Alligator mississippiensis: one gene and its partner. The protein of the gene in region 1 interacts with the protein of each later gene in a biochemical or structural test. Links are inferred from orthologs where the notes say so. Each region holds a gene or a part of one and is shown in the gene's direction. Other genes may lie near its edges.

Evidence for each region.
Region 2: of the proteins of CASP3 (region 1) and GSN, one has a biochemical effect on the other in vitro, tested with the Homo sapiens proteins (2 studies listed by BioGRID). The link is inferred for Alligator mississippiensis from reciprocal best matches to the Homo sapiens genes CASP3 and GSN.

The regions. Positions count from the first base shown.
Region 1 is NC_081825.1:71,024,579-71,040,843, forward strand, and holds the start of CASP3 (caspase-3), read left to right. Parts: upstream 1-8,428; 5' UTR 8,429-8,778; intron 8,779-8,833; exon of another isoform or gene 8,834-8,939; intron 8,940-9,141; exon of another isoform or gene 9,142-10,318; intron 10,319-16,265. Other genes in the region: PRIMPOL (DNA-directed primase/polymerase protein), read right to left, coding at 2,303-2,394, 5,952-6,131. UniProt on the Homo sapiens protein: Thiol protease that acts as a major effector caspase involved in the execution phase of apoptosis. Following cleavage and activation by initiator caspases (CASP8, CASP9 and/or CASP10), mediates execution of apoptosis by catalyzing cleavage of many proteins.
Region 2 is NC_081835.1:64,350,960-64,366,912, forward strand, and holds the start of GSN (gelsolin), read left to right. Parts: upstream 1-9,369; 5' UTR 9,370-9,476; intron 9,477-9,762; exon of another isoform or gene 9,763-10,019; intron 10,020-10,587; 5' UTR 10,588-10,606; coding exon 10,607-10,639; intron 10,640-15,953. UniProt on the Homo sapiens protein: Calcium-regulated, actin-modulating protein that binds to the plus (or barbed) ends of actin monomers or filaments, preventing monomer exchange (end-blocking or capping).

The DNA.
Region 1 (16,265 bases):
TCACCAATTCCCTTCTGTGCCCCCGTGATGAACTTAAAGGCAGCCACAAGGTCGCCTCTCAACCTTCTCTTGCGGAGGCTGAAAAGGTCCAGTTTCTCTAGTCTCTCCTTGTAGGGCTTGGTCTGCAGGCCCTTGACCATACGAGTTGCCCTTCTCTGGACCCTCTCCAGGTTATCCGCATCCTTCTTGAAGTGTGGCGCCCAGAATTGCACGCAGTACTCCAACTGCGGTCTGACCAGCACCTGATAGAGGGGAAGTATCACCTCCCTGGACCTATTCGTCATGCATCTGCTGATGCACGATAAAGTGCCATTGGCTTTTCTGATGGCTTCGTCACACTGCCGGCTCATGTTCATCTTGGAGTCCACTAGGACTCCAAGATCCCTTTCTGCTTCCATGCCACCAAGCAGGTCATTCCCTAGGCTGTAGGTGTGCTGGACATTTTTCCTCCCTAGGTGCAGCACCTTGCATTTCTCCTTGTTGAACTGCATCCTGTTGTTTTCTGCCCACTTGTCCAACCTATCCAGATCTGCCTGGAGCTGTTCCCTGCCCTCCGGCATGTCCACTTCTCCCCATAGCTTTGTGTCATCTGCAAACTTGGACAGAGTACATTTGACTCCCTCATCCAAGTCACTGATGAAGACATTAAAGAGTATCAGTCCAAGGACCGAGCCCTGCGGGACCCCACTGCCCACACCCTTCCAGGTCAAGACCGACCCATCCACCACGACTCTTTGGGTGCGACCCTCTAGCCAATTCACCACCCACCAGACTGTGCAGTCATCCACATCACAGCCTCTTAGCTTGTTCACCAGTATGGGGTGGGATACCGTATCGAAGGCCTTCCTGAAGTCTAAGTATATGACATCCACCCCTCCTCCTGTGTCCAGGCGTTTCGTAACCTGGTCATAGAAAGAGACTAGATTGGTCAGGCACGATCTGCCCGCCACAAACCCATGCTGGTTTCCCCTCAGCATAATTTGCCCTGCTGGGCTCTCACAAATGTGAGCCTTGATAATTTTTTCAAAGACTTTACCAAGGATGGAGGTGAGACTGACTGGCCTATAGTTGCCCGGGTCCTCCTTCCTCCCCTTTTTGAAAATGGGGACCACGTTAGCCCTTTTCCAGTCCTCTGGGACTTGGCCTGTGCGCCACGAGCGTTCGAATATTCCTGCCAGTGGCTCTGCAATGATGTCGGCCAGTGCCTTCAGCACCCTCGGATGGAGCCCATCCGGGCCTGCCGATTTAGAGGCATCCAGTTCTTCCAAATGACTCTGCACCACCTCAGGATCTACGTATGGAAGTCTGGCGCCTTGCTGCTGCCTCTCTACAACCCCAGTGAGAGACTTGTCGTGCCCCTCACCTAGGAACAGAGGCAAAGAACTCGTTGAGGAGTTCAGCCTTGTCCCCCCTGTCTGTCACCAATTGTTTCTGCCCATTTAGCAGTGGTCCTATTCCTCCCTGGGCCTTCCTTTTACTCCCTATATATCTAAAAAACAATTTCTTGTTGTCTTTTACTTGGGTTGCCATCCTCAGCTCCATGGTAGCTTTGGCCCGCCTAACTGCCTCCCTACAAGCACGAGCAGAAGAGGTATATTCATCTTTAGTGATCTCACCCTGTTTCCTGTTGTTGGCAGCATCCTATAAGTTACAAACACAAAATCTATAGTACTGACAACATAAATGTGTTAATGAATTAAAAGATTTATGAAAGCTAATTTTAGAAACACAGAAATACCCCTGAGATAATTTACAATGCAAATAGAAAGCACTGAGAACCTGAAAGCAAAATAAATGACTTTCACACATAAGAAAAGTAGATGCAATTAAATGTTGATGTCTGAACTGAGGGGACACCCCTCCCCCCCCCCCCACACACACACAATGATGATAATAGCTTAAATAAAAGGAATATTGGACTTTGAAAATTCTCTCAGTAATCAGATATTACTGCTAATATTTACCAGATTGTATTTACCACATGTAATTAAGTTGAATCCCCTTTGAGATTTATATAGCAAAAGACAAAACCACAAATTGTGTGATACATTTCTATGCAAAGTGCTATTTAAGTTATTTATTTAAGAAGGCATAAGTTATGTCATCTCTTGACACTCTAAAATGATGTTTTTTTACCCCCTCTACAAAAACAGATTCTCTTTTGTAGTCAAGTTCTGCTTGGCACACAAGGCTACCTGATACGGTCTCCCAGTGACAAAATCATGTTTCTAAAGGCCAGACTGCATTTACCCCAGCCCCAGCAAAGCACAGAGCAGCTGAGAGCTGCTTATCAAATACTTACTTATAATAGAACCAAAGCTCAATATATGTTGTCACAAGGTAAAACCTTTGTCCGTCTTCAGTGTTCTTTTCCAATGCAAATACATGCACTTCCTTTTCAAGATTAAAAAAAGGAAAAAAGTAAACTGTCCTTTTGTTTCAAAATACTTTGTTGTCAAAATGGTCTCTTTGACATTATTTGAAACCCTTCACCTGAGACACTAAGTTTCTATTTATTAAAAGCCTACCAAATGACTGTTTTAAATTAAAACAGTAAAACTTGCTGCTATGCAAGAACTGCGTTTTGACTTCAGTTGTAGCAGTATAAGTCTGGAGAAGCCCACTCATCAGTAAAGTTAACATCAGTGCAAGTCTTTGATAACATATCAAAAATGAGGCTGAAGTGGTATTGTATTTCTTTAGTAATTTTGATCTATAGCAAATACCACCAGTTCAAGGGCAATCACCTATAGAAAACAGCACTCTACATTAAGAGATGGAAGTATATAGCTCTCAGTCAAGTATAATAATGTACCAGTCATCTTTTTATTATATATTATGTATAAAACTACAGGTAACCTGAAGAGAGAGAAATGCTAACATACTGGCAGTGATTAGGTCAAGTGCTTTGTCACAACCATAATTTTGGATGAGGTATTTATAAGAACCCAATACCAAGGTATCCAACCGCTTTACTACCTTTTACTGCATTTACCATCACAATAATCCTAAGGTTGGAAGCGCAGTTTCTTTATTTTACAGAAAACTGAAGCATAAAGACGACTAAGAGTCACAAAGGAACTTAGGCCCACGTGACCTCATGCAAAAGTCATGCTAGGAGTCTTGTGCTAAAACAGGGAACTGAACCCAAGTATCCCAAGTTTCAATTTCTTTTAACTTGATAGTTGACTTCTTTGGTGAGACCTATGACTTAAGTGTTGGTTACCATCACTTCTGGTTCAAATACTGTATTTTCTCATTTGCTACATAGCCTCAAATACAATATACACTTTGTTTTTGGAAGGCACAATGTAAAAGAAAAGATTTTTCCAGAGTCATGCCCAACTGTGACACAGTAACAGAGAGCCCAGTAAGTGCAGCATCCCAGGGAAGAGTCAGGGTAAGGCAACAGGGACTTCCTAACGTGCCAGGACAGCAACAAGGCTGGGCCCTAGACTCTTGCAAGGGCAGCAGCAAGACTGTTACTTTTTTACTATAACTAGTTCTTTATATAAGTTCCTGTAAATAATAAGTACTACTTCTGCATAAGCCTCAAGATACTACAGACTGCATGCAGCAGCTCACCCACTGCCAGCCAGCTCAAAAGCTCTTTAGCCAAAAGCTACTGCCTCACCAACAGCTTTGAGAGGGTTAACACTGGATCCTAACCCTGCTGTTTGCAGGTGCAAGAAGTAACAACCCTCTTGGGTTGACAGTAGGCATAGTGTCTGCTTGCTCTATTCCACCCTGCTTCTAACAAATTAAAATTAGCTTCCTTGTTTAAGACACACGCCCATTTTGGAGGGGGAAAAGGAGCCATGTGGTTGGTAAGTAAATACAGTAGCTCACTTTGCATATTACCATTTGCACTGTTTCCCCTGCGTGGTTATTTAGGCTCTGATCCTGCAAGGGCAGACCTCCCTACCCTGTGCAAAAGCTCAAGAGGAGGCATATCGACTCTATAAGATGGAGGCAATTGCAGGATGGGTTCTTTAGTATAGTGATTTTTTCCGTTATTCTGTGAGATTTATCAAAATACAGTTCTAATACAAACAAGATGAACTGAGTGTGTTATGATATATGTTAAACTACTCCTAGCTTTTTCAATTAAGCAAATGTATAATTGTTGCTATTCCTCCAATGACTGTGTTTGATAACTTTACTGATTCAACTTTAAAGTTTATATTAGCATAAATGCATAGGTATGGTAATTTGCTTCAACACTGGAAAACTGAATGATTAAATGAGTATATTTAGGACGCATTTGGGAAACAATTTAAGTCACTAACTCCGATGGACAACTTTATGGCATATTTTATAGGGCAGAAGAATATGTTTTAGCAACCCCGCGTTTAGAAGGATTACAATGGAACACTGCACTCAAGACTAGCGAATAATTTTCATTGCAACAATATATGAAACCTGAAGGGGAGAGGCTAGGGGAAAGACAACCAAAACAAGCAACTAACCACAGAATGAACAACAGCCTACAGTTTATTTTCCTTCATCCTGTCCTTGTTATACTAGGAGACATCAAGGGAGTCATTTGGTTTCAATTATTCTGGGTTTCCTTTACATCTAGCAGAGGCCTACAATATTTTTTGGTGGAAGTCATTTTAAATCATCAAATGGAAGTGTCCACTGAAATTTATGAGGAACTTCCCCATGCTGTTTGTTTTTTGTTTTAACTTTTTGGTTGACTTTGTTTTCATGCACATTTGGTTTTAAAAAAAAGACAATTATGTCACAGAATCTGAAACACAAACTGTTATAAATAAATGGAGTTAAAAACTTTGAAAGAGGTTTATTTCAGGTGATTTGGCTCTTATTTCAACTTGTGTCCCACCTTGTTTTTCCAGAGGTACTGTCTCTGGTGTGTCAATAAAGAGGTGCCCTCCTCTGTGGAATGTTTTGGTCTCTGTGTCTTTTGTTTTCTGACTTTTCTTCTTCTATATTATTTGTCTTTCTTGACCTTTTTCCTGTTATCACTTGCTTTTTCCTTCATCAACATCATTTGCCAGTCCTGTCTTCTCACTAACAAGCTCCTCCACTATCAAAAGTTAAATGGCACACCTAACGCAGGAGCGGGCAAAATACGGCCTGCAGGCCACATCTGGTCCACCAGGCCATTCAACCCAGCTCATGGGGCACCTAAAAAGTTTAGAAAATTAATATTTATCTGCTCCTGGCTGCCTGTCAAAGACGACAGGAGACAGGGGCAGTAGGACCTAGGGGAAGCCGGCAGAAGTCAGGAGCAAGGCTGGCCCAGCCCCACCCCCCCCAGCCTCTTCCCCACCAAACCAGAAGTCTCTACTTGCGCTGGCTTTCACTGCTTCCCCCTGTGCCTGCTCCAGCACCACGTGGCCCTGGGCTGAATCCCCAAACCACAGGAGCCGGGGGGCTCATTTTAAGCTACTGTATAATCACCTCTATGTACACTACACAAACACATGTAAATCAGGACAAAAATATTTTTTTTAATCAAATTAATGAATGTTGTAGACGTTTGATTTTTAAAATATAATTGGGTATTTTTCTGGTTCTGAAATGGCAAAACCCCTTGCTGAAAGGAGTATTTCTGGGGGCAAGTGGAGGGACCTTTGTGGCAAAGGTAAGGGGTTACGGAGTGGGACTTCCAGTCCCAAGATGGTGGGGCACCTACCAGGGGGTGGGGCAACCCATGGGGCCCTCTAAGCAGCCCTCTGCCCGAAATAATTTCCTGCCCCTGATCTAAAGTCTAATGTTAGACATCATGCTTATTACAGTTATGATCCCTGGATGTCCCATGCTGTCCTTTGAGGATTCAAATAACATGATGTACCAGGATTGCACAACACAAGAATCCTGTAACCTGAAATTTACTTTGTAGACTACCACAACTTTAAAAGCCAATTCAAACCTTCAAAGTATCTCAATAGTAAAGTAATTCTTGTAACAATCTGATGCCTCACCTCTTTGCAGGTTTTTACATAGTCAAAAGCTTGAGCTTGTCGGGGAAATATTTTCCAAACAGAGGATGGTTGCCATGGTTTGGACAGCTTTGGCCTATAAGCTGAGCAAAGTGGGTTTCTTTTATATTGAGATTCTAGTTCTTCAATCTTCTTCAGTTTTTCTTCCCATTTTCTCTTCATCTGTCCTCAGGCAGTGAGAAACTAACCTGTAGCTCTATATTTAATATGTAAATATAAAAATGTTTTCGGTTTGGGCTTTCATTTTTAATAAACAAGTCCACATTTCTAAGGTTGAACTGTTGCATATAGAGCATATACTCCACTTAATGAATAACGGTAGCAATATTCAAGATCAACGCACAGCTTTGCCATAAAATTCCTTTTAACGTTACAATCCCCATACATTCCCAGATCAGTAAGAGAACTTGTTTTCATATCAACTGCATGAAGAATCAAGTTGTGGAACTGTTAGGCTTGTTCCACTGTCAGCGCACCAGAAAGGGCTTAGTCTAAAGGAAAGCTTCAGATCATTCTGTAACATTTTGCTTACAGAACACTAATAACTTACCTACAAAAACAATGAGCCAAATTATAATTAGGCATTCTCTCACCAATACCAGAAAGTATATAAATGTCATGTTTCACAAGTGAAATGAAAAGTGTAAAATGATTAGTCTAGGCCAGGGATGTCAAACTCATTTGAAAGATGCCCGGTATGGGTCTAGTCCATAGACCAGATCAGGATCCACCACCCCACGTTAGATCTAGCACCTGTGGCACCCATCTTGGACCCAGCAGGAAGAGGCCCACCACCCTGGCATTTGGCTGTCACTCTGAAAACAAACTGTGGCATAAGGCTTCTTCCCAGGGTGATACTAGGGCTCTTGCACTGCTGCTCTCACCTGGGTGCTTGGCAGCCAAGCAAGCAAGAAGCGTGTGTGGTGCTGGAGCCCCAGCAGCACTATGGTTTCTTCCTGCAGCTGCAGCCAAGCACACAGGCAAGAGCTGGCTACTTGGCACCTGTTGCCAGAACAAGCCACAGTATCAGGCTTCTTCCCACAATGCTGCAGCTGCTGCACTGTGACTCTTGCCCAGGCGCTTGGCTGCCACTGCAAGAAGATCCCCTATTGCAACCAGAGTTGGGGCAAAATCTGCAGGCAGAATGACCCAGCTCCACAGGATGGATCTAGTCCACAGGCTACATGTTTGACACCCCTGGTCTAGGCCATACAGCCAGTCAGTCCTTGAGTCAGGATTAGATTTCAGAGTCCTTAGTTCCCAGCCCTAAATCTGTTAGACTCTTGTACCTCAGAAAAGCAAAAACAACTAAATCTGAACTTTGTACTTCAGCCTCACCTTGATAGTTGGTCATATTGTTTGTTTTGTAACCTCAAGATTTCACTGATTTATTCACTTGTATACACATTTACTGGAAATGTTGTTACACTTTTGAAACAGCAGACCTACCTGGGCTCAGAAGAGGCATTGGCACACCTGAGCTCACTATCACTCAATCTTTGAGCTTCTAATCCTGTAAAGCAAACCTGAAGCAGGAACACTGAAAAACAAACACCAGCATCATTATAAACCAGCCTGACTTTTGTCATTTTCACCCAGCAAAATGCCCTCTCTCTCAAAACTCTTTAAAGCGCGCATGGCAGTTTCTACAGGAGTTTTATCACAGACACACAAGACCTGTTCCTGCTACCATTAATTGATTTGTTCCCCTTTCCCCTCGTACATCTTTTGTTTTGCATCATTGCTTTCTTTCCCCTGCTTCTTCACACCCCTCCTCTTCCACTTCGGATTCTCTCTCCCCGACTCAGTATCCCACCGAGATTACTCAGCCGGGACATCAACAGAGCGAAACTAACTCAGGGGTGGGCAAAATATGGCCTGCCAGGCCATTCTATCCGGCCTGTGGTGACCCTAAAAAATTTAGAAAATTAGTATTTATCTGCCCCGGGCTGCCTGTCATGCGGCCCTCCATGGCTTGCCAAAACTCAGTAAGTGTCCCTCCACCCAAAATAATTGCCCACCCCTGAACTAACTCCACACCCTGCCCTCTGGACAATTACAGGCCAGGTCCACAAGGAGAATGTCAGTATTTAACCCTCCCCTTTATGCCCTCACTCATGTCCAGAACAACATCCTCAGAAGGGCCCGTCTAATATTACAGACACCTTAACGCCCTAGAAATGCTACAAGTGCCCATTTCCACCAGCAAAGTCTCCCAGGCATGCAAACTGAGGCTGGCGAGCACGCAGCCACCTGTCAGTACTTTCCAGACTTCCTCAGGTCACGGAAACCATTGGTGCTCCTCCTGCTGCTGCCCAACTCCTACCCCCTCCCTAAGGACCCATGCTCCAATGATGCCCCCATGTCTGGGGAGGACACAACAACCTACAGGAGACACCAGGGCATGCACCCCCTGGCTTCCCCTGCACCCAATGCACGGTGGGGGGGGGCACCTTTTTGGCAGGCGAGTCACAGGCCGCGCCCTGACTGATCCCCTGCTCCCGCCCTGTCTGCCGCTCCGCTTGCTGCTCCCTGCCGCGTGGGGCAGAGGGAGGCCACGTGCAGTGCCAGCCCTGCAATAGGTGCCCCAGGCACGACCCCGGCCCGGTGACGGGTTGCGGGACACCGCGGCCCTCCCACAGCGGCACCCCCTCAGCCCCACTCCCCGCGCTGTATGGGTGGGGAGCCGCCGCAAAGGCTGCTGGGAGCCCCCCCCTCGCGCTTCGAACCCGCCGCGCGGGGCGGGGCGGGGCGGGGCTTCGGCTTCTCTCTGCAGGCGGCAATCGCAGCGGGACCAGCAGGGCGGCAGGTCAGTACCACAGCGCGGCGCCGGGAGGGGCGGGGAAAGGGAGGGGGGATTTCACCCCGTGGTGCTGCTCTTGCGTCCCGTGCGAGGACCCGTCCTATCGCCGCGGGGGGAGGGAGGTGGCGGCGCGGCCCCGCCGGACAAAGCCTGCGCCCGAGGCGGGGCACCAGGCGGCGGAGCCTGCGCGGACTTGGCGGCGCCGCCCCAGCCCCGGCTTTAGTGCTCAGCCTCGTCCTCCGCCCCCCGCTACTCCGCGTGGTCGAGACCCGGCTACCCAGCGCGGCGGTCCCCGCTGGCCCGGGCACTTGGCAGTAGGGAGTGGTGCCCGTTCCTCCCCCGCCTCCTGAAGTGCCGCTGTAGAAACACCGTTTGAGTGAGGTTGTACCCCTCACTGGTGCAGGAACTAGGCAAGAGGCAAGGATTTATGTGGGTGGAGTCTTGTACTGGACCCCGATTTGGTTGGGAGAGACTTAAACAAGCTTTTGAACGCAGTTGGAGCTGGGTGTTGCTGTTGAAGTGTCCCTGCCCGGCTCCCTGCAACTGCTGCTTTGACTAGTCCTGTGCCCTTTCACTTCCACATGTCCCCTCTTCCCCTGGTGGCCACTGTATTCAGCAGCTCAACTAGGTCTGTCCCGACTGAGCGGTTACATCGTGGTTGGGGCACTAGCAGGAGTCTGGACACCAGGTTCCAGAACAGCTCTTCTGCTCATGCGGCTCGTGCAGCCAGCCAAAAAATGCCAAAGATTTGGTGACATGCTCAGGCAGCAGCACTTTTCAAGCCAGGGAAGGACCCAGCTGTCCCAAAGAGCTTCAAACTTGTCTCTCTGCTATACCACACATACAGATTATACGGCTAGCTGATGCTGAACTGGCTTGTCCCATACGTAAATAAATGCCTGATCCCCAAACAGGGCAGCCTTCGCCCTGGAAAATCAACACCAAGCCAGCTGCTTATTCTGACTCAAGATACTGAGGATGGTTTTGAAAGAGGCCAAATCACCAGAGCTGTGTTTATCAACCTAACAGCCATCTACGATATAGTTAACCACCAGTTCCTCCACAAGACCCCGGAAATGACAAAAGATCTGTGCCTTACAGAACTGATGTGAACCCAGCTCAAAAACACTTTTTTGCCAAACTGGATGGGAAGTGAAGTAGATGGAAGTGACATTAATGGCCTCCCCCAAAAGAAGCATACTTGCACCACTGTTGTGGAACTTGACCAGCCAATCAATTTGGAAACAAGGTTTCATCTGTTCAGACAACCTGCCCATAACAAGCCCAAACACTAACTTTGACAATGTTGAAAAATCCCTTACGGAAGCACTAGTTGGCCTAACTTCATACTACACTGAAAACCAGTTATATATCAACCCAACAAAAACACAACCATGTATGTGCCTTCTGTCTGAAAAACAGTGAGGCCAACCACCGACCGGCTCAGCATTGGATGTCCGGGACCCCACTATCCCACTGTCCAAATCCAGTTTACCTTGGAGTCACCCTCGATCAAACCCTCTCATACATGAAGATGAAAGCAAAGGTGAGTACTCAGAATAACATTCTGCATAACTTCACCAGCTTGAAATGGGGAGTGAGCCCCTCAACCACTGGAAGCACTGCTCTGGCTTCCAGCTTCTCTGCTGAGTATGCATGCCCTGTACTAAGCACCTTGACCCTATTCTGAACGATAGCTGCTATCACAGGATGTCTGAAGCCTACCAGGATAAACAGGGCTAGCTGGCAATGCTCTGCCTGACATCAGAAGAATAGTGGCCTGCAGGATAGAATCATCGAGACAAACTGAAGATGTGAGATGCCCACTGTATGACCATCCCGCAATACCCAAACATCTGAAATCACGCAGGAGCTTCCTCACCAGCACCCATCCTCTCAATGCCACGCTCAAGGAGACAAGACTACTACACATGTGGAACGAAAGGCTGAAGAAAGTACCTGACAGCGGAATAAGGGCATTCCAGCAGCCGAGTCCTTATCACCAGGGGCTGATGAAACATGGCAAAGGTGGCAGAGTCTCAACCGCCTACGTACCAGAGTTAGGTGCTGCAAGATACTAATGAAGAAGGGGCTATACCATCGGTTCAACCATCTCTGACTGCGACAGAGAGCTTCAGATTATGCAACTCCTGCTGTAATGTCTGCTGTTTGCAGGCACGTGTACAATGAAAGACCTCATAAAGTACAATAAATGAGCATGAGCATGTGTAACAAAATGGTCAAAGGTGGTGTAGAGACATGAGAGGAAGATGACAACCAAGCAATTGGTCCAATAAAAGATACCACCCACATACATCCTTGACTCTGACATGGAAATAGTAAGTTTCTGCAGCCCCCATGGTTTCCATCAAGGTCCCTGTCCAAGGTATTGTCAACCTGAACCTGTTAGGAAAGAGGAGTGTGCTGGCATTTATGTCAGGTTGCAACCCTTGACCTATGCCTTGTGGTTTCTTTGTTGCATATCTGTCTCCCATTGGGTATTAGATACACTTGAAATTCTGTTTCTTACTCGAAAAGCCATCTGAACTAAAGTGCTTAGTTGCTACAATGATGAAAGCAGTATAAGAGCTGTATATAATGGGTCTGTGCTGTTTTATCCAGCCAACATTTCTGGGTCATCTCCTCCAGGAGCAAATTCAAGGCCTGATATTCCTGTTGTTTCCAGAATTTTTCAGGTGTCACTATGAAATCAGTGCAGTTCTTGACAGTTTTGCTACAGCCTAATAATCCTGAATAGTTAGCTGACATATTTGGCTGAAGTTGTTGCTGAAAAATGTAGTTTGAGATTGACTGAAATATTTTGCAAAGTTATGCAGATTGCAGCAAATCAAAAATAAATTCTAAAATGGTTGACACCTGTTGTTTTGACTTTCCTGTTCAAAATACTGTTTAATTTCCAAATTTTACCTTCATTAAAATACTTCTGAAGATGTTAAATAATGTTCAAGAAGAGAATTAAAAAAATGATTTAAGAAACTAACTTCCCTTTGTTTCTACATTGGTCTAAGTGTTCTGAATAGCATCTGGGAAATTGAGCACAAATGGTAAAGTCTATATTACAGTAAGTTATGGACAACTGGTGAAGTTTATAGTATTTCAGTAACAGTTGCTTTCAGTAAGCGGACTTATGGTCCATTGGCTTCTCTGAACCTGTTTATATAGACACACAGTTTCACATTCATGATGTGCTTTTTTTAATATCCTTCATTATGCATGATTATATTGTTTTTATTTAGAGAGCTAAGGACTTGAATCAGATGGGCTACTGCATTGGTTTCCAACCCTTTGCTTGCAGGCAATATGTTTCCCAAAGGATACTCCAGCATAGCTCCTGCAACAGGAAATCTTGCTTTCCCCAGATACATCTTCCTTTAGGTTAACAGGGAGAACAAAGTGTGATGTTTACCACAGAAAATTATTTCTTCAGTATTGTTACCACTGAAGGCTGGGGACTGCTGAGGTAATAAATGAAGAATGACTAATTGAAATTGGACCTGCATAATACAAGAAGTTAGGCTGGTGAGCAAAGAAAAGCCTTTTAGAGAGTTTACAGCCACAGTGCAGTCTCTGCTTATTGTTAATTCATAGATGTTATGGCCCAAAGCCACCGTTACTGTTATGTGGTTTAACTTCTTGAATAACCTAAGCCATTTAATTTACTCCCAAATTTATGCTTTGAGTTGTAAAGCTTTTAGAAAGCTATCCAGTCTTCACTGAAAGATTTCAAATGATGGTGAATCTACCATATCCCTAGGTTACAGTGGTTAATTATCCTCCTACATAATAGCTACACCTCATTTCAGTTTGAATGTTTCTCATTTTAGCTTCCAGCTACTAAGTATTGTCATGCAGCTGTCTGCTAGGTTAAAGAGCCCTTTGAAGTGTAGGATTTTTTTCCCCATTTACATGGCCAGGTCACTTCTTATTTCTCAGTTTTTAAGCAAATAGTTTGAGCTGTGTAAATCTCTCATTGTAAAGTATATTTTCTAGTTCTCAGATCTTTCTTATACTTTCTCTGAAGTCCTTACAATCTTTCAACATCCCTTTTAAAAGTTTGGATGTAATATCAACAGTGGAGTCTTAAATCAGAAGGCAGGGTAGACCTGCACTGTATATGCTAACTAAATCAGAAGTGCATAACATAAGCCAGGGGTTCCCAATCTTTTTATGCTGAGGACCAGCAGGAAGTGACCGCGGACTGGCAAGCCGTGGACTGGAAGTGACTGTGGACCGGCAAACTGCAGACCAGCAGTGGCCAGCATACTGTGGGCAGGTAGCCAACCCTTTTTCTATATTCAGAATAAAAAAGGGTTGACTGCTGCTCCGCAGTATGCTGGCCACTTCCATTCCATGGCCACTTCCAGTCCTGCAGACCAGCAGATAACCCTTCGCGGCCCACCATGGGGCCACAGCCCAGGAATTGAGAACCCCTGGCATAAGCTTTATGAAAGCTTTGCAAAAGCTTATACTATGCATCTCTGATTTAGTTGGTGTGCAAGGAGCAAATCTACCCTGCCTTCTGCCTTACCAATTAATCTTTTCAGCCAAAACATTTCACTGGACAAATATATTCATTAGGTATCTAGAATAACCGCATAATCCTTTTCTAAGTCATTGCTTTCCAGGATACAATCCTCCTTTCCAATATGGCTTATATTGATAGTAGATTTATGGATTTACATTTTTTGTTTTGTTTTGTGTTAGCATATTTTCTATTCAGAATAAATCATCAAGTATTAGCCTTACTGAAATAAATTTCCTTAGTGGCCACAGGCATAATTAGGAAACCAAATTACAGTGTAGTACCTCCACACTTCAGCTACTGTGTCATGCAGTATGTATTGTTTGTTTTTTTTCCCCCATGTTGCATCAGTTTACTTGACAGAGCCTAACTTAAGCATTTGCCATCTGCGATCTATGGATGCAAACAAACCATGAAGCCATCCCTGGGGTTAATAAAAAGAGATGCTTTAAGAAATACTGTTTAGAGCAGTGGTTGACGGTGTTTTCCAGCAGTGGAATGGAATGGCCCAGCTTGTGTCCAAGGCAGGCTGGCACTAGGACTTGTCTGTCACTGCTGCTTGCTCCTGCTGGCACTTCTCTCTCCTGCCTGGCTGCAACACAGCACAAGAAAACTCCCCACTACTGAGCTTTCCAGCTGATGCAGCCCTGCCCCCCCCACCTCCTCCCACCAAAGCCCCAGCTCTGCTAATCAGATTCCATGGCCCATAGGTTACTAACCCATGCTTTAGAGGGTTAAGAGACTAGAAACCACAATTCTCTCCAAAAGATGCGAGGAACTCATTTTCCCTATTGACACTTGAGGACTGCTGATATGATTCCCATGAAGCCTTTGTCAGTGGAAGGATGATAGTTCCACTAATGCTTTTCACAACACTCCATAATTTTCTGGATGTGGCTGTTAGAAAGCACTTACCATTCATCTCTTGCCCACCCATTTGGGCCAGGATTCTTTCCTTAAGTGTTAAAGAAACATACTTTTTTTGTCTCTCTCTTTTTTTTAAATAGTTTTATGCTCCGTATACAGAGAGTTCATTGCAATAACTACTGTTGTCTTTGTTTCATAGCACAGCATAAAATATGTTCCATATGTGTTTAGTGTTTTGTGTACTATGGTTATGTAGACAGTAACTCCACAGATCCAGTTTTCAGTAGCATGAGTAAGAAAGTGTGCAGTATTTAATATTAGCAAAATTCTGTAGAGAAATGTCGTTTAAATGTTTATTATTCAAGTCTGTTGTTTCTTTGTTCCCTCTAGGCTGGTCATTTTAAACAGCAGTACTGGTCATTCCAGTATTCCATGCATGCACATGTTCTGCTTGTTCTCTTAGTTCAGGGGTGTCAAACTCACCTCCCCCCTATTAAATCCACACAGCAGGGCTCCTCATGATCATGCCTCCAAAATCTCTGGTCCTCCCCTAGCCCAGCAGCCTGGAATGAGTGCCTCTGCAGGCCAGATTCTGCCCTTGGGCCATGTGTCTGACAGTCTTGCCTTAGAAGAATATTTGCAGTTTTCCAGTGTAATTGTATAAGGTGAAAAACTGCAGAGAGAAAATAAATCACAGATGATCTTGTAAAATTCTTAACTCATAGCTTCTGTTTTGGGATGCTTATTTTAGTATCGCTGTGATGATCACTACTTCACAACAGTTGGCATATATTAAACACGTGTTGTCTTGTCCATAGCCATTTGAATGTTTCAGGGTGTTTGAATGTTTTAGGGTGTGTAGAGTAATTGGATACCATTCAGTTATTTACTCTTTTTATCATAGAAATTGAATATTATTTCAATTTATAGCAATTTGTCATATTGTATATATTTCATAATTCAGATATATACTTGTGTCCTGAAATGAAGCATTGTTAAACTGGAGTTAGAGATTGGATTTGTAATGGCTCACTCATTTGACTTTTGTAAAGAAGCATAGTAACCGATCATTGTTACAACAAAAGGAATAACCTGGAAGAGCTATGCTAATTAAAAAAAATTATATTCATAATGTACTATGCATGTAGGTTATGAAAATAATTTTGTTTTGTAACCTGCCAGCAGTTCTAATTTTTGGACCTGCTTCAAAGATTCCTTCTTTGGCACACACCCCTATACATTAGTTTACAGAACACACTTACCCCTTTTGCAGCATCTGTCTCTTATGTCTGTGATCTTTTTTATTATTATTAAATATAAGAATTGAGTAGAAGCTACCCTGTAATGTAAAGTAAATATTCTACTAGCTACGGAAAAAAAGATGCATGTTATGCCAGTGGTGACTTCAGCTATTTCTTTGGGGGCTTTTTATTTTATTTTAAATTCTATCACTGTTAAAAGCTTCTCTTACCTAAGCTGATACTTTAAGCATTAGGGATACAAATCTATAGAAGCAAAACAAAGAATAAAAATCTATAGAAGAAAAACAGTAATTTAAATTAATTCTGAACATGTTTTCCCAAAGTACTTTTTTCATCCTTCATAGTATGAGATCACCCTCCCTGGAGAGATGTATCCTCTGTTTGACAGAGTATGACATCATCGCATTAGCTAAGTAAGATGAGGTAATTCTTAGCTATACTGCTATAAATTAGCTAGAACCAGCCTTCTCCCAAGAGCATTGCTGCTGCCTTGTGTTGGTATCAGCATTCTGAAACAGAAAAAAATGTTTCTGACACAGCCCAGCAACAAAAAGATGACTGCTCCTAGGTCTGTCTTTTGTTCTTCAGACAAGTGCAGCTGAGTTGTTTTATTAAGATGCTCAAAAATTCCTAGGATGTTAAAGGTGAATTGCAGGTATGGCACTGAAAACCAGGTGGATGTATTAGTGTTTTAATGCCCACATCAAGGGGAAGTAGAGCATTCAGCACATAAGTGACCTCAATCTGTCACTTCAGTTCTCATGGTCACAAAGGCTACCTCCATGTAAAAGACCATAGAATACATTAGAGTGATATAGCAG
Region 2 (15,953 bases), on another chromosome or scaffold:
GAAGGAGGTCTACCCATGCAAGGCACCCGGTATCAGGACTTCCAACTAGCAAATTTGTCGGCAGCTTTTGTAGAGAGGCCCAAAACTGAACGTATATATATATATAAGAAATGGATCGCTGTATTGTTTTTCAGTCTAGTAGTGGGCCCGGTCTTTCATCCAGAAGCAGAGATGAGGGTCAGTGTGTATGGGCAGCGTGGGCGTATGCATGGGCATGTGCTCGTCCAGGCCAGCAGCCAGTAATCAGAACTGTGTGGCTTTTATATCGTGTCTCTTGCATCATGTTTATGCATAAACTGCTAGTGCCCTCTTGGTGCCTCTTCTAATACATGGAGAAAAGAACGTAGAAGCAACTTGGAGTAACTAGCCAGCAACTTGAAGAGACACTTGCCAAAGGGCTGGCATGCCCATAAAAGAAGGCAGGCAGGCCCCACACGAATCAGGCGAGCTGTGACTCACTGCATTTTATTTATAACATTTCTGAGGCAGAGGAGGAAGCCATGCAAATATTTGTAAACTGCAGACTGAGGTTAGTAACATGGAATAAGATATTAAGCAAAGGCTATTGCAAACTACAGACAAGTATACGGTGGGTGAAGCTATTGAAGCATAATACTATTACGAATTTGGCACCAAAAAAACCAAATAGTATATATATACAAGTGAAAGTCCTGCAGCCAATTCAGTTTTTGGCCTCTCTACAACGGCTGCCAACAAATTTGCTAGTCGGAAGTCCTGATACCGGTTTTGCATGGGTGGACCTCCTTCACCAATGCAGCCTGTCACTGGTTTCATCTATGGGTGCTGGGCAAATACAATACACAGATCCACAGCTCAGACGTGGTGTGGTGGATGAGGACTAGCAGGGAGGAGATCAGCACAGGGAGGTTGGAGGAAAGAATCAGAAAAGAGGAAGGGAATGGGCAAACTGCAACTTGGAGACTATTCTCGACACCAGGCGATACGCATGAAAGAAGGGTGGAAGGCGGAGACCGCGGTTGAGAGCTCGGGGGTTTTTGCGTCTTCAGTGCCTTCTATCAAGAAAACCCTGGGCTGTTACAAAACAGCCACTGACACATCACAGCTGGTCCCCATGCTCTCTGCTTCTTTTGCAAAACTCAGGTTGAATGATTTTGGTTCTCGAAGAACAGCTTAACTGGCGCCGAGCAGCTAGAGATGACCTCTGAAAATGATTGAGAGCTCGTTGCAGTCAGTTGGATTGAAGAGAGTTACTGTCTGTCAGCCATGTCCTTGGGAGCAGGTTCAGACCTTCCCACCCCCAACTCCTAATAGATTAGTGTTCACATTTATATTTATTTTCAACACTTCCTCAAATGTGGCCAGACAGACTTACTGTTGACATTATCCTAACACTTGCAGGTAAAGTGTCAAGGTCATCACGACATAAGTGAAGTTGCAGAACTGAATCTATTCACAGGATTTTTTCCCCTACGATAGTTAGTATGTGTGAAATATTTGGAGCTAGAAACAACCCCGAGGAGGGAATTCCTGACTCAATCCACAGAACAGGTGCAGCACGAATAGCTGCAAGGCATCTTTGTCCCACACCTCTGCTGCAAACGAGCTTCATCTGACCAGAAGGGACTGTCAGTTCTCCCTTGGACCATTTGGTCCTTGTCTGCTGCTACAGTTGCTTTCTTTCAGGTAGCCAAGTGTGGTGACGGCATTACAGGCAGCTGGCTCCTGGACAAAAAGTACTTCAGTAGCATATAATCCAGGAGCGGGCAATTATTTCGGGTGGAGGGCCACTTACTGAGTTTTGGCAAGCCATTGAGGGCCGCATGACAGGCAGCCAGGGGCAGATAAATATGAATTTTCTAAAGTTTTTAGGGGCCCTGCGGGATGGTTAGAATGACCTGGTGGGCCACATCTGGCCTCCAGGCCACAGTTTGCCCACCCCTGATCTGTTGCAATGGGTGCACAGCTGCTCTCAGCCAGAAGTGCACCAGGCAGGGTCTTCCTCTGCTCCAGAAACAACTCTAGGATCCCTTTTCAGCAGGTCACCGCCTGTCTCTCTCCTGTACTGAACTGGCCAGAGAGAGACTGAAGAGGCCAGGCCTAACCAGTTTAGAAAAGAGTCTCTTGGGGGGAGACCGGATATGGGCTTCCAAAATACTAAATGGTGATGAGGACGTCAGTAGGGATGGACGACCGACTCTCGCACAAGACAAGAACAAGGGGTCACAACATGAAAGGAGTTTGCAGTGGGCAAGTCTACACAAGATGCTTGATGAGCATTAGTCTAATAACACTGCGCAGTAGCATGGCGGTTAAAGCCTGCGCTAAAAGCCTACTGCGCAGTGTCGTTAGGCTCATGCGCCGCAGCATCACAAAATAATCGTGCATGTGCAGTAACTCTAGTTTCTGTGCCTTCATTTCCTACTTCACTAAGGAAGTACAGGCAGTCCTCGACTTACATTTTGCACTTGCAACGTTTATAAATTGACATCCTGTTTCAACTTTCTGATGTCATGTTTGACTTTACAACGTGACGCCACGCCAGCGAACAAGTTAGCTGTGTCACCCATCTCCCTGGAGAACATCTGTCCAAACTTCCTTGGGCACTGCTTTGAAGAAAGACAAGACTCCACAAAAACCTGCAGCCAAGACTGCTGGAAGACTCCAGCCGAGAGCCCTCCAAAAAGTCCAGCAAAGAAGTCTTTCCAAATCAATATGATTGCTATTTACAATATAAATACATTAATGTAGCTATATTACTCATCTATAATTGATCGAGTACAAAATTCTAGGTTATTTTTGGTGAAAATAGGGTATCGGTTCAGGAACCAATCCCCCATGCATAACTTGGTTTCTTATGGGAAAATCGGTTCCGAGTTACGTTTCAACTTAAGACATGGTTTTCAGCAACCAGTTGTGTCGTAAGTCTGAGGACTGCCTGTACTGAACTAAATGCGCCCTAACAAAGGTAATGCAAAAATCAAGAACTCTTGGTTCAGGGGATAACTTTCATTAGACCCACTGAGAAACTGCAACAACAAAAATGATATAAAGCTTGCAGAAATGTCTTTTTTTTTTGGCAGTTTTTCAGGGAGTCTAATGTGCCAACCCAACACTTCTAGATGTTTGCCTTTCTTTCTGTCTCAGACCAACAGGGCTCCCAAATGCATCCCAGTAACAAGGGGCGCATTAAGCACCCGTTCGGTTTCAAAGTTGTGCAAGGCAGACAAGGATTTTAGGGTCTGTCTGATCTCTTGTATTAAACCAACTCCAATCGTTGGGCAAAGTCTAGCATGGCATTCAAGGTGGGCGGGGTTGCTGGGAGAAGCTGAGAGTTCAGGCAGCTTCACCAAGCCCTGGGGCGTCCATGGGGGCATCAGAGGCGCTGCAGTGCTGAGAGCTGTGCATGCCCCCTGCCCGGCTCTGGTGCATGCCCCTGCCCCTGGGCTGTGCCCGGCTCTGGTGCATGCCCCTGCCCCTGGGCTCTACCCGGCTCCGGTGCATGCCCCTGCCCCTGGGCTCTACCCGGCTCCGGTGCATGCCCCTGCCCCTGGGCTGTGCCCGGCTCCGGTTCATGCCCCTGCCCCTGGGCTGTGCCCGGCTCCGGTGCATGCCCCTGCCCCTGGGCTGTGCCCGGCTCCCGTGCATGCCCCTGCCCCTGGGCTGTGCCCGGCTCCCGTGCATGCCCCTGCCCCTGGGCTGTGCCCAGCTCCGGTGCGTGCCCCTGCCCCTGGGCTGTGCCCGGCTCCGGTGCGTGCCCCTGCCCCTGGGCTGTGCCCGGCTCCCGTGCATGCCCCTGCCCCTGGGCTGTGCCCGGCTCCCGTGCATGCCCCTGCCCCTGGGCTGTGCCCGGCTCCCGTGCATGCCCCTGCCCCTGGGCTGTGCCCGGCTCCCGTGCATGCCCCTGCCCCTGGGCTGTGCCCGGCTCCCGTGCGTGCCCCTGCCCCTGGGCTGTGCCCGGCTCCGGTGCGTGCCCCTGCCACTGGGCTGTGCCCGGCTCCGGTGCGTGCCCCTGCCCCTGGGCTGTGCCCGGCTCCGGTGCGTGCCCCTGCCCCTGGGCTGTGCCCGGCTCCCGTGCGTGCCCCTGCCCCTGGGCTGTGCCCGGCTCCCGTGCATGCCCCTGCCCCTGGGCTGTGCCCGGCTCCCGTGCATGCCCCTGCCCCTGGGCTGTGCCCGGCTCCCGTGCGTGCCCCTGCCCCTGGGCTGTGCCCGGCTCCCGTGCGTGCCCCTGCCCCTGGGCTGTGCCCGGCTCCGGTGCGTGCCCCTGCCCCTGGGCTGTGCCCGGCTCCGGTGCGTGCCCCTGCCCCTGGGCTGTGCCCGGCTCCGGTGCCTGCCCCTGCCCCTGGGCTGTGCCTGGCTCCGGTGCATGCCCCTGCCCCTGGGCTGTGCCCGGCTCCCGTGCATGCCCCTGCCCCTGGGCTGTGCCCGGCTCCGGTGCATGCCCCTGCCCCTGGGCTGTGCCCGGCTCCGGTGCGTGCCCCTGCCCCTGGGCTGTGCCCGGCTCCGGTGCATGCCCCTGCCCCTGAGCTCTACCCGGCTCCGGTGCATGCCCCTGCCCCTGGGCTGTGCCCGGCTCCCGTGCATGCCCCTGCCCCTGAGCTCTACCCGGCTCCCGTGCATGCCCCTGCCCCTGGGCTGTGCCCGGCTCCCGTGCATGCCCCTGCCCCTGGGCTGTGCCCGGCTCCGGTGCGTGCCCCTGCCCCTGGGCTGTGCCCGGCTCTGGTGCGTGCCCCTGCCCCTGGGCTGTGCCCGGCTCCCGTGCGTGCCCCTGCCCCTGGGCTGTGCCCGGCTCTGGTGCATGCCCCTGCCCCTGGGCTGTGCCCAGCTCCGGTGCATGCCCCTGCCCCTGGGCTGTGCCCGGCTCCCGTGCATGCCCCTGCCCCTGGGCTGTGCCCGGCTCCGGTGCATGCCCCTGCCCCTGCCCCTGGGCTGTGCCCGGCTCCCGTGCGTGCCCCTGCCCCTGGGCTGTGCCCGGCTCTGGTGCATGCCCCTGCCCCTGGGCTGTGCCCAGCTCCGGTGCATGCCCCTGCCCCTGGGCTGTGCCCGGCTCCCGTGCATGCCCCTGCCCCTGGGCTGTGCCCGGCTCCCGTGCATGCCCCTGCCCCTGGGCTGTGCCCGGCTCCCGTGCATGCCCCTGCCCCTGAGCTGTGCCCGGCTCCAGTGCATGCCCCTGCCCCTGGGCTGTGCCCGGCTCCCGTGCATGCCCCTGCCCCTGGGCTGTGCCCGGCTCCAGTGCATGCCCCTGCCCCTGGGCTGTGCCCGGCTCCCGTGCGTGCCCCTGCCCCTGGGCTGTGCCCGGCTCCCGTGCGTGCCCCTGCCCCTGGGCTGTGCCCGGCTCCTGTACATGCCCCTGCCCCTGGGCTGTGCCCGGCTCCGGTGCATGCCCCTGCCCCTGAGCTCTACCCGGCTCCAGTGCATGCCCCTGCCCCTGGGCTGTGCCCGGCTCCCGTGCATGCCCCTGCCCCTGGGCTGTGCCCGGCTCCCGTGCATGCCCCTGCCCCTGGGCTGTGCCCGGCTCCCGTGCATGCCCCTGCCCCTGGGCTGTGCCCGGCTCCAGTGCATGCCCCTGCCCCTGGGCTGTGCCCGGCTCCGGTGCGTGCCCCTGCCCCTGGGCTGTGCCCGGCTCCCGTGCATGCCCCTGCCCCTGGGCTGTGCCCGGCTCCCGTGCATGCCCCTGCCCCTGGGCTGTGCCCGGCTCCCGTGCATGCCCCTGCCCCTGAGCTGTGCCCGGCTCCAGTGCATGCCCCTGCCCCTGGGCTGTGCCCGGCTCCCGTGCATGCCCCTGCCCCTGGGCTGTGCCCGGCTCCAGTGCATGCCCCTGCCCCTGGGCTGTGCCCGGCTCCCGTGCGTGCCCCTGCCCCTGGGCTGTGCCCGGCTCCTGTACATGCCCCTGCCCCTGGGCTGTGCCCGGCTCCAGTGCATGCCCCTGCCCCTGGGCTGTGCCCGGCTCCGGTGCGTGCCCCTGCCCCTGGGCTGTGCCCGGCTCCGGTGCATGCCCCTGCCCCTGGGCTGTGCCCGGCTCCGGTGCATGCCCCTGCCCCTGGGCTGTGCCCGGCTCCGGTGCATGCCCCTGCCCCTGGGCTGTGCCCGGCTCCCGTGCATGCCCCTGCCCCTGGGCTGTGCCCGGCTCCGGTGCATGCCCCTGCCCCTGGGCTGTGCCCGGCTCCCGTGCATGCCCCTGCCCCTGGGCTGTGCCCGGCTCCGGTGCATGCCCCTGCCCCTGGGCTGTGCCCGGCTCCGGTGCATGCCCCTGCCCCTGAGCTCTACCCGGCTCCAGTGCATGCCCCTGCCCCTGGGCTGTGCCCGGCTCCCGTGCATGCCCCTGCCCCTGGGCTGTGCCCGGCTCCAGTGCATGCCCCTGCCCCTGGGCTGTGCCCGGCTCTGGTGCGTGCCCCTGCCCCTGGGCTGTGCCCGGCTCCCGTGCATGCCCCTGCCCCTGGGCTGTGCCCGGCTCCCGTGCATGCCCCTGCCCCTGGGCTGTGCCCGGCTCCCGTGCATGCCCCTGCCCCTGGGCTGTGCCCGGCTCCCGTGCATGCCCCTGCCCCTGGGCTGTGCCCGGCTCCCGTGCATGCCCCTGCCCCTGAGCTGTGCCCGGCTCCAGTGCATGCCCCTGCCCCTGGGCTGTGCCCGGCTCCTGTGCATGCCCCTGCCCCTGGGCTGTGCCCGGCTCCAGTGCATGCCCCTGCCCCTGGGCTGTGCCCGGCTCCCGTGCGTGCCCCTGCCCCTGGGCTGTGCCCGGCTCCTGTACATGCCCCTGCCCCTGGGCTGTGCCCGGCTCCAGTGCATGCCCCTGCCCCTGGGCTGTGCCCGGCTCCGGTGCGTGCCCCTGCCCCTGGGCTGTGCCCGGCTCCGGTGCATGCCCCTGCCCCTGGGCTGTGCCCGGCTCCGGTGCATGCCCCTGCCCCTGGGCTGTGCCCGGCTCCGGTGCATGCCCCTGCCCCTGGGCTGTGCCCGGCTCCCGTGCATGCCCCTGCCCCTGGGCTGTGCCCGGCTCCGGTGCATGCCCCTGCCCCTGGGCTGTGCCCGGCTCCCGTGCATGCCCCTGCCCCTGGGCTGTGCCCGGCTCCGGTGCATGCCCCTGCCCCTGGGCTGTGCCCGGCTCCGGTGCATGCCCCTGCCCCTGGGCTGTGCCCGGCTCCGGCGCATGCCCCTGCCCCTGAGCTCTACCCGGCTCCAGTGCATGCCCCTGCCCCTGGGCTGTGCCCGGCTCCCGTGCATGCCCCTGCCCCTGGGCTGTGCCCGGCTCCAGTGCATGCCCCTGCCCCTGGGCTGTGCCCGGCTCTGGTGCGTGCCCCTGCCCCTGGGCTGTGCCCGGCTCCCGTGCATGCCCCTGCCCCTGGGCTGTGCCCGGCTCCCGTGCATGCCCCTGCCCCTGAGCTGTGCCCGGCTCCGGTGCATGCCCCTGCCCCTGGGCTGTGCCCGGCTCCCGTGCATGCCCCTGCCCCTGGGCTGTGCCCGGCTCCGATGTGTGCCCCTGCCCCTGGGCTGTGCCCGGCTCTGGTGCATGCCCCTGCCCCTGGGCTGTGCCCGGCTCCCGTGCGTGCCCCTGCCCCTGGGCTGTGCCCGGCTCTGGTGCGTGCCCCTGCCCCTGGGCTGTGCCCGGCTCCGGTGCATGCCCCTGCCCCTGGGCTGTGCCCGGCTCCCGTGCATGCCCCTGCCCCTGGGCTGTGCCCGGCTCCGGTGCATGCCCCTGCCCCTGGGCTGTGCCCGGCTCCGGTGCATGCCCCTGCCCCTGGGCTGTGCCCGGCTCCTGTACATGCCCCTGCCCCTGGGCTGTGCCCGGCTCCCGTGCGTGCCCCTGCCCCTGGGCTGTGCCCGGCTCCGGTGCATGCCCCTGCCCCTGGGCTGTGCCCGGCTCCGGTGCATGCCCCTGCCCCTGGGCTGTGCCCGGCTCCGGCGCATGCCCCTGCCCCTGAGCTCTACCCGGCTCCAGTGCATGCCCCTGCCCCTGGGCTGTGCCCGGCTCCCGTGCATGCCCCTGCCCCTGGGCTGTGCCCGGCTCCAGTGCATGCCCCTGCCCCTGGGCTGTGCCCGGCTCTGGTGCGTGCCCCTGCCCCTGGGCTGTGCCCGGCTCCCGTGCATGCCCCTGCCCCTGGGCTGTGCCCGGCTCCCGTGCATGCCCCTGCCCCTGAGCTGTGCCCGGCTCCGGTGCATGCCCCTGCCCCTGGGCTGTGCCCGGCTCCCGTGCATGCCCCTGCCCCTGGGCTGTGCCCGGCTCCGATGTGTGCCCCTGCCCCTGGGCTGTGCCCGGCTCTGGTGCATGCCCCTGCCCCTGGGCTGTGCCCGGCTCCCGTGCGTGCCCCTGCCCCTGGGCTGTGCCCGGCTCTGGTGCGTGCCCCTGCCCCTGGGCTGTGCCCGGCTCCGGTGCATGCCCCTGCCCCTGGGCTGTGCCCGGCTCCCGTGCATGCCCCTGCCCCTGGGCTGTGCCCGGCTCCGGTGCATGCCCCTGCCCCTGGGCTGTGCCCGGCTCCGGTGCATGCCCCTGCCCCTGGGCTGTGCCCGGCTCCTGTACATGCCCCTGCCCCTGGGCTGTGCCCGGCTCCCGTGCGTGCCCCTGCCCCTGGGCTGTGCCCGGCTCTGGTGCGTGCCCCTGCCCCTGGGCTGTGCCCGGCTCCGGTGCATGCCCCTGCCCCTGGGCTGTGCCCGGCTCTGGTGCGTGCCCCTGCCCCTGGGCTGTGCCCGGCTCCGGTGCATGCCCCTGCCCCTGGGCTGTGCCCGGCTCCCGTGCATGCCCCTGCCCCTGGGCTGTGCCCGGCTCCGGTGCATGCCCCTGCCCCTGGGCTGTGCCCGGCTCCGGTGCATGCCCCTGCCCCTGGGCTGTGCCCGGCTCCTGTACATGCCCCTGCCCCTGGGCTGTGCCCGGCTCCTGTACATGCCCCTGCCCCTGGGCTGTGCCCGGCTCCAGTGCGTGCCCCTGCCCCTGGGCTGTGCCCGGCTCTGGTGCGTGCCCCTGCCCCTGGGCTGTGCCCGGCTCCCGTGCATGCCCCTGCCCCTGGGCTGTGCCCGGCTCCTGTACATGCCCCTGCCCCTGGGCTGTGCCCGGCTCCAGTGCGTGCCCCTGCCCCTGGGCTGTGCCCGGCTCTGGTGCGTGCCCCTGCCCCTGGGCTGTGCCCGGCTCCCGTGCATGCCCCTGCCCCTGGGCTGTGCCCGGCTCCTGTACATGCCCCTGCCCCTGGGCTGTGCCCGGCTCCAGTGCGTGCCCCTGCCCCTGGGCTGTGCCCGGCTCTGGTGCGTGCCCCTGCCCCTGGGCTGTGCCCGGCTCCAGTGCATGCCCCTGCCCCTGGGCTGTGCCCGGCTCCAGTGCATGCCCCTGCCCCTGGGCTGTGCCCGGCTCCGGTGCTGGGTGAGTCCCCGAGCCGAGCATTGCCCACCCCGGAGCGGGGAGGTGCCGGCGCGGCCGCCCTGCCTCCATCCCTCCCTCCAGCTCGGCTCCGGGCCCGCCCCAGCGCTGCCTCTCCGCAGCCGCCGCCGCCTCCTGCCTCTCCGCAGCCGCGCAGGTAGGTGCGGGCTCCGGGCTGCCCCAGCCTCCTTCCCCGGGGGCAGCAGCAGCTTGCAGGGGCTCGCAGATGCCCGGGGAGGGGGCTGGAAAGCAGGTCCCAGCAGGTGATAGTGGGGGGGGGTGGTTAGCACTGCCCCCGGGCACCTCCGGCTTGTGTGCATGCCAGGAGCAGGAGCCCCATGCCCATGTGTGCAAGGCAGGGTGGAGCCCAGACCTCCAGGTGTGCCTGCCCATGCAGGATAATGCATCCTCGAGATGACCTGGCATCCCAGGATTGACTTGGAGGTGCCACTAGGCGATTCCCATCCCTCCAGCGGTGCCTGTCGTGGCATAAGGAAGTGAGACGGAGCGATTCACAGGGATGGGAGGAAGCACTGATTAACTTGTGGGAAGGAGGAGAAGTGACGTGGGGCGATATAGGATGTGTCGTTGCAAGCTGGCAGCCTAGACAGCCTGGTCCTGTCCAAGCTCCGTGTCTCTTGTCGTGTTATAATTCAGCAGGGAAGAAAGAGAGAGAGAGGGGGGAAAAAAAAAAGTTTGGGTAAGTCAAATATCTCCTTGTGAACACGAACTGTGTGTTGAGGCTCCATGCGGCATTCTGCTCTCCGATTTGGCAGCGTGGCGTGCAGCAGCGCACTGCCACGTATTTTGTGATGTCTGTGCATGCTAGCTTCTGTATTTCAGGGAGTGCGATTTTATTTATTTTTTTGAAGCTGTCGTTTTAAATCACTGACAGTGTTTCGCTGCCCTGCAGAGAGGGGGTTTGATTGCACGAAGCCAAAAGCACCCCGATGTGAGCAGACAGAGAAGTCCTGAAGGAGCTTCTGCTCCGTAACATCCCGTTGCTCTTCTTGGAAACCCGATCAATAAGAAGCCTGTGCAGATTGTATGGGTGGTTGGGCAGTGCTGTGCAGCTGGCAGAGGCTTGTCCTCTGATTTAGGACATGTGCCAGACTGGTAAAAATAGCACAAGTCTTTTCACATTACTGCTGGGAATAGGGGGGCTTTGTTTGTTTATCTTTTTGCCTGGATGAATATATTTTGAAAGCACTATTTGAACAGAAATTCAAAAATTGCAGACACTTAAACCTATTTAAAATGTTTCCTAGGAAGAGTGTTAAAAAAATTATGGGGATGACTTGTTTCAAGGAGGCCTCATTAGTAAGTAGATCCTCTTTGAATAAACTGCTTTGAATGTTAACTTGCTTTTGGATGTAAAAATCCAACTTTGCTAACAAGGATCCTGGTATCCTTCTTCCCAAATCTGCTAGTCCTCTGACTGACAACGGCCGTTCTTGGGGTCTTCCCTGGCCAGCTTTATGCATGATGCAAGTTTATTGGCAATAAATGTCCCTTTGTGGACAGATGGCATGGCTCGGCGCAGGGTGCTCCTACCCTGGACTAGAACGGGGGGCTCTTCTAGCATCTCTCATCCTCCAGGTTTCCCAAACTATCTTAACAAAATAACAAGTTAAATACTCTTTCTGCAATGACTGTCTAGGCCAACGAAGCAGCCCTGGAATAGTCCTCACAACCTCAGATATCACAACCAGTTTCCTTAATATTATCCTGGAGAAAATGTATTCCTTGGTCCCTTCTATAAAGTACCATGCGATTGTCTAACTTTTCCCTGCGCAGCTGTCGGAGGGAAGCAGAAGGGATCCCAGTTTAACATCTCCGCCCGACGGCGTCTAGCATTTCAGCTGCACTTGTGCAGCCTGGCAGAGTATGCACTGAGTATAAATCTCAAGGTCTAGCCCGGACTCCACCCTATGGTCTCCACGCCTCGTGGTAAGAATGCAGCCCGTTGAGTCCTTGGCACTCAAAACTGAGCAAAGCTTGGTTTCAAGAGTTAATCTTTATCAGCCGGATCGGATCCTGCTCTCTCTGAGTCAGTGGGAATCGTGCCACAGGGCTCGCTGGAACTCAGTATGAAGATAAGGTGTCATAACTGGAAACTTCGGTAGGCCCAGATGGGCGTGGAGTGTAGTCCTGCCTCCTCAGTCACGCTGCTTCATCCGCTAGTTTGAAAGTGAAATGTCAATAAGTTCGTGAAAGCGATAGCAGAAGATATTGCCATACACAGCTGGCTGTTAGGTGCCCAGCTCCCAGGCAGTTTTAGTGGGAATTAGGTTGGTATCCACCTCTTTGCAAAGCTTCCCCATAAAGCTGACTTGTAAAATGCACGTATCACCATGAAGCCCGAAATCTTCTGCAGCTGGTTGGTGATCAACTTACTAAGAATATAATGGAGCCAGCGATCCCGCCTTGACACTATCTAAGTGGCAAGGCAAGAAGACTTGGGTTTATTTCACCATTATCTTACCGTACCGATTGCAATCCGGTAGCACAAGCAGCATTTGAACCTAGTCCTGGCATCACCAAAGCACAGAGCTGTGCCCGCTGAGCTAGAGGAATAGGTGTGTTACTCCCACTCCCAGAGCTGTGCGTATCGTACTAGCTACTAGCAGGGAGATGCACTAGGTGTGTCACAAGCTCGCTCCATGGTCCTTACCACGTTAACTAGAGCCGGCGCTGCTACCTCTGTCTGAAAAGCAGGTTGTCTAACACCTTTGAATACAAAGCCCTGTTTTCCTAGAGATGTTCTGTACGTTTATAAGTCAATATTGGCAGCTCGCAAGCTGTCACTGCGTCTGCCAGTGTGAGCGAGTTCAGCCTTGCTGCTATAAAAGGAGAAAAGCTAACAAAACCGTAAAACTTTACGCCGTACAGAAGGCAGCAATTAATATTTAATATTTGAAAGACCCGCCTCAAGCAAGCATCGCTTTGTGCGTTGACGTAGGATGATGATTGCGTGTGTGTGCGTTTGTGAGTGTGCGTGCACGCGCAGTGCAGGATGTGATCTGATCTGTGGAGTTGTGGTGGGAAGGAAGCTATTCCTTAAAATAGCTGTCAGCGTACTCGCTGTTTACAGTAGGCTTTTTTAGCTCATTTTCCAAGTGTGATCTTTCCAATTTATCTTCCAACCTGCAACATGAGTGCTGCTAATCAATAGCTGTCATCTGGAAGAGCTGGGCAGGCAAACTCACCAGCGTAGGCCTGGTTTTATTTTGGAGCCCTTCTGTCTGCAGAAATGAGGTTTCTGAAATGGCGCAGGAGTGAGTTGGTTACATTTAAGCCACTGAAATTTTTAAATTATATGCTGAAGGGAATTGCAGCTCTGGTTAATTAAAAGGAGCTGGTGTAATTACTGGACAGCGCAGAGAGATTCTCTCGGTTTATGCTTCTTCTTCCAGCATTTAGGAGCTCCTCGGAAATGATCTAGTTTTGTAACCTGTCTCAGATAGCGGCCAATATTCAGTTATGTTCAGGGAAGGGGCAAGAAGCTTTGAAAAAGTTTTGCAATAACTTGTGTAAAGGGGAAGTTTTATATTCAGCCAACCCCCATTACTTACATGTTGGCTTATGCCCCGGAGCATGAGGTTTTTCTCCCCTTCCTAATTATTTGAACAAAAACGCAAAACAATGGATTAGAATATGCATTTCCAATCCTTTAGGGATCCCTTGAAACTCATGACTCAAAAATGCTTTGTGGCAACGAGTTTGACGGGTTGAATCCATTTTATACAAGAAATTATCCCCTCGTTGTTTATGTGCCGCTTTTAAATGTAAAGCGGCTGTCCCCTTTCTCTTGTTCAGTGAGAACGGGACACGCTCGTAACCTGTTCGGTATAGTCATCATTTTGTCTACTTCTCTCATATCTTCCCTTACTCTTTTCCTCTCAACAGTAGTGTCTCAGTCTTCTCAGTCTCTCTGTTAGTGGCTCATTAAGTAGATCCACTAATAGTCCAGATAAAACCATGAAAATAAGCTTTTTTGGGAAGTGAAAAAAGTGTAGGGAAGAAAGGCTCCATATGGTTATCAGTCTTGCCATAAAGGGGATATAGATCCAGAGGCTCCTGAGTGCAAACAAATGCTTGATCTGCTGTGGCAGTTGTCAAACAGAGGACCCGAAACTTTGTCAAACGGAGGACCTGGCAAACAGTCCCCGGGATGCTGTCTAGGTCTTGGATTTCCATTAGAAACATTTTTCTTGTGGAAGGGCAGGCTCTCCCCTGCCCCCACCAAATAATAACCTGAAGAAGATAATAGCCCTTAAATACAGTGCTCAGGACAAGCTACGGGGATTGGAGGAAGTGCAGCAGCCGAATTCCCGTCAATAAACCGATCAGCCTTACTATTTCAAACCAGCCTGCAGCCTGCCCGCCCCCTCGCCCCTGACCAGCAGGCCCCGAGCAAGCGCTCTGTTTTCGGACTCCCGTTCTGCTTCCTTCAGGGCTTTGTCTCCCGGCAGTGTCTTGTTGCAACGTGGAGGGCTGTCACCATAAAAAAAGAGCCTGGTTAATGTCTTTCCCTCCCTCTTTCTCCAAACACGGAGCAGGGTGGCAGGCTTTGCACAGCCTGCGGGGTTCGTTCAAGCGAGAGGTGCCTGTCTGCCTAAAATAATCCTCTAGCCGGAAAACTGCCCGTATTACAGCAAAGGCTGAACATGTGGAGAGTGAGATAAAAGAGGAGAAACAAAATGGAGTGTATTACCCTTGCACCCGCCCTGCCGTCCACACAGGGTGGCCGCTTGGTTGAATGCTGAGCTCAGCAGTTCTGCAAAGGCTACGGGCAAAGGGATTTTTCTTAGGAAAAGAAGAAATAAAAGCAAAACGAGTCCATGAGCAAGCCTCTGAGCCGGCTCCATGTCAAGTAGGGGCTGGATTTCTCGGGGCATCCTCCTGCTTCATCTCTGCTTCCCGAAAGGTCATGGATGCTGGCAGGCATACAGTATTTACATCACATATGCTATCTGGATGCCTGACAGCAGCACTGACTGGCAAAGCACGCTCAGCAGGCCTTTATTTAGGTATTGGCACGCTGCTAGATCACTTTGCTTCCTGTGACCGTGCCGCCGTGCTATCGCGTACCCTCAAATAGTCTCGGTTCGGCAGGTACTTGCTCCAGCATATTCATTCATTCATTCTTGTATTGCGTTTGCATCAGGGAGCTACGATGGAGTCAGGGCCCAGCCTGTTACGTGCTGTAGGAACACACACAAAGGCACAATTCTGGCTGGAAAGTGCCGGGATACTTTATACCCGTTGTACCGAACGACATCCCTACTTGTCCTGGTGACAGAACGCTGTTTTTATTATGGTACCTGTGCAAGTGGTAGGGGGACTGGATTTCAGGAAGATTAATTAACAGACATACTAGCAAATGAGCTGGTGTCTCGGTGCCTTCTGGCTGCACTGATGGATACACAAAATCCTAGGGCACGTTAGTGTTTTGCTCAGGTGCACCCATATGTATTTTCAAAGTGCTCGTGTCCAGAGTTTTATCAGAACATTTTCCTGTTCTGGTAGCTTTTATTTTCTCCAAAGTTGGAAGTGTGGGTAGTGAAGGTACTGTGCTCTTAGGGCAAGCATCTCTGTTGTATGAATATTGCACGAGGGGAGGCAGGAGATGCGCTAGTGCCTGACAAACAGCAAACTCCTCGGGCATTCCCTACCTAGGTATGCAACTTGTGTGCACGTCCTTTCACAGCATCTGAAGTGAGCTTCAGCTCATGAAAGCTTGTGCTATAAACACACACACGCATACACATACATATTGTAGTTAGTCTAGAGGGTGCAGATCTACCCTGCTTACTACTGGGGGTAGGAGAAGGGCTAGGGCCTGTCTACTTGCACTTGTTGATTCTGGAGAATAACTTTAGGGTTTCCCACTTGGATGGCACCCAGTATCTCTGTGATCCAGGACATTCAAACTGATAACATTCAGAGAAATGATGATCAAAGTGGGCGAGAACTGGCTGCTATGGACTGCAAAAGAAAACTGCCTTTCTGTTAACTTTCATAGTGGAAAGATAGTTTCCCCCTCTGTAATGAGCTGGGTTTTTGACCCTTTCTTCTCCCTGTAAAAGCCTGAAGAATGCAAACTGGTTTCAGACATGGAGATTTCTATCCCGTGCACAACCACTGAGAGAGAGAAAGAGTCGTTTGTCTATATTAGGAGCCAGTCAGTGAGCCAGTGGGAAACCATCCAAAGAAAAAGTTTAAACATATGGCCTTACTGAACATTTCCACACACACACACAAAATATAGCTACAAAACAAAACCCTTAAAACTGGAGAAAGTGAATCATCCAGAGGAAGCAAACTCTTTCAGCTTGTATGGAGGTCCCAAAGTGAGAACTACAGCAAGGCTTTGACCACACTTTTGCTTCCTCAACTCCATGAGTCTGCATCCTTTTTTTCAGAAAGGAACTGCCTGTTTAAATGACCACACTGCGGACTTCACATACCTTGCTATGATAAGGAGCCGTGCAACATCCTGTATATGTTGCATAGTTGTGTAAGGCTGTATATTAATGATATTGCCCTCTAGTAGCTGGCTCACAAAGAGGAAAAGGGCCCAGCATTGGAGCAGATTGGTTTTGGAGGTGAATAAGCATCCCAGGTCTGA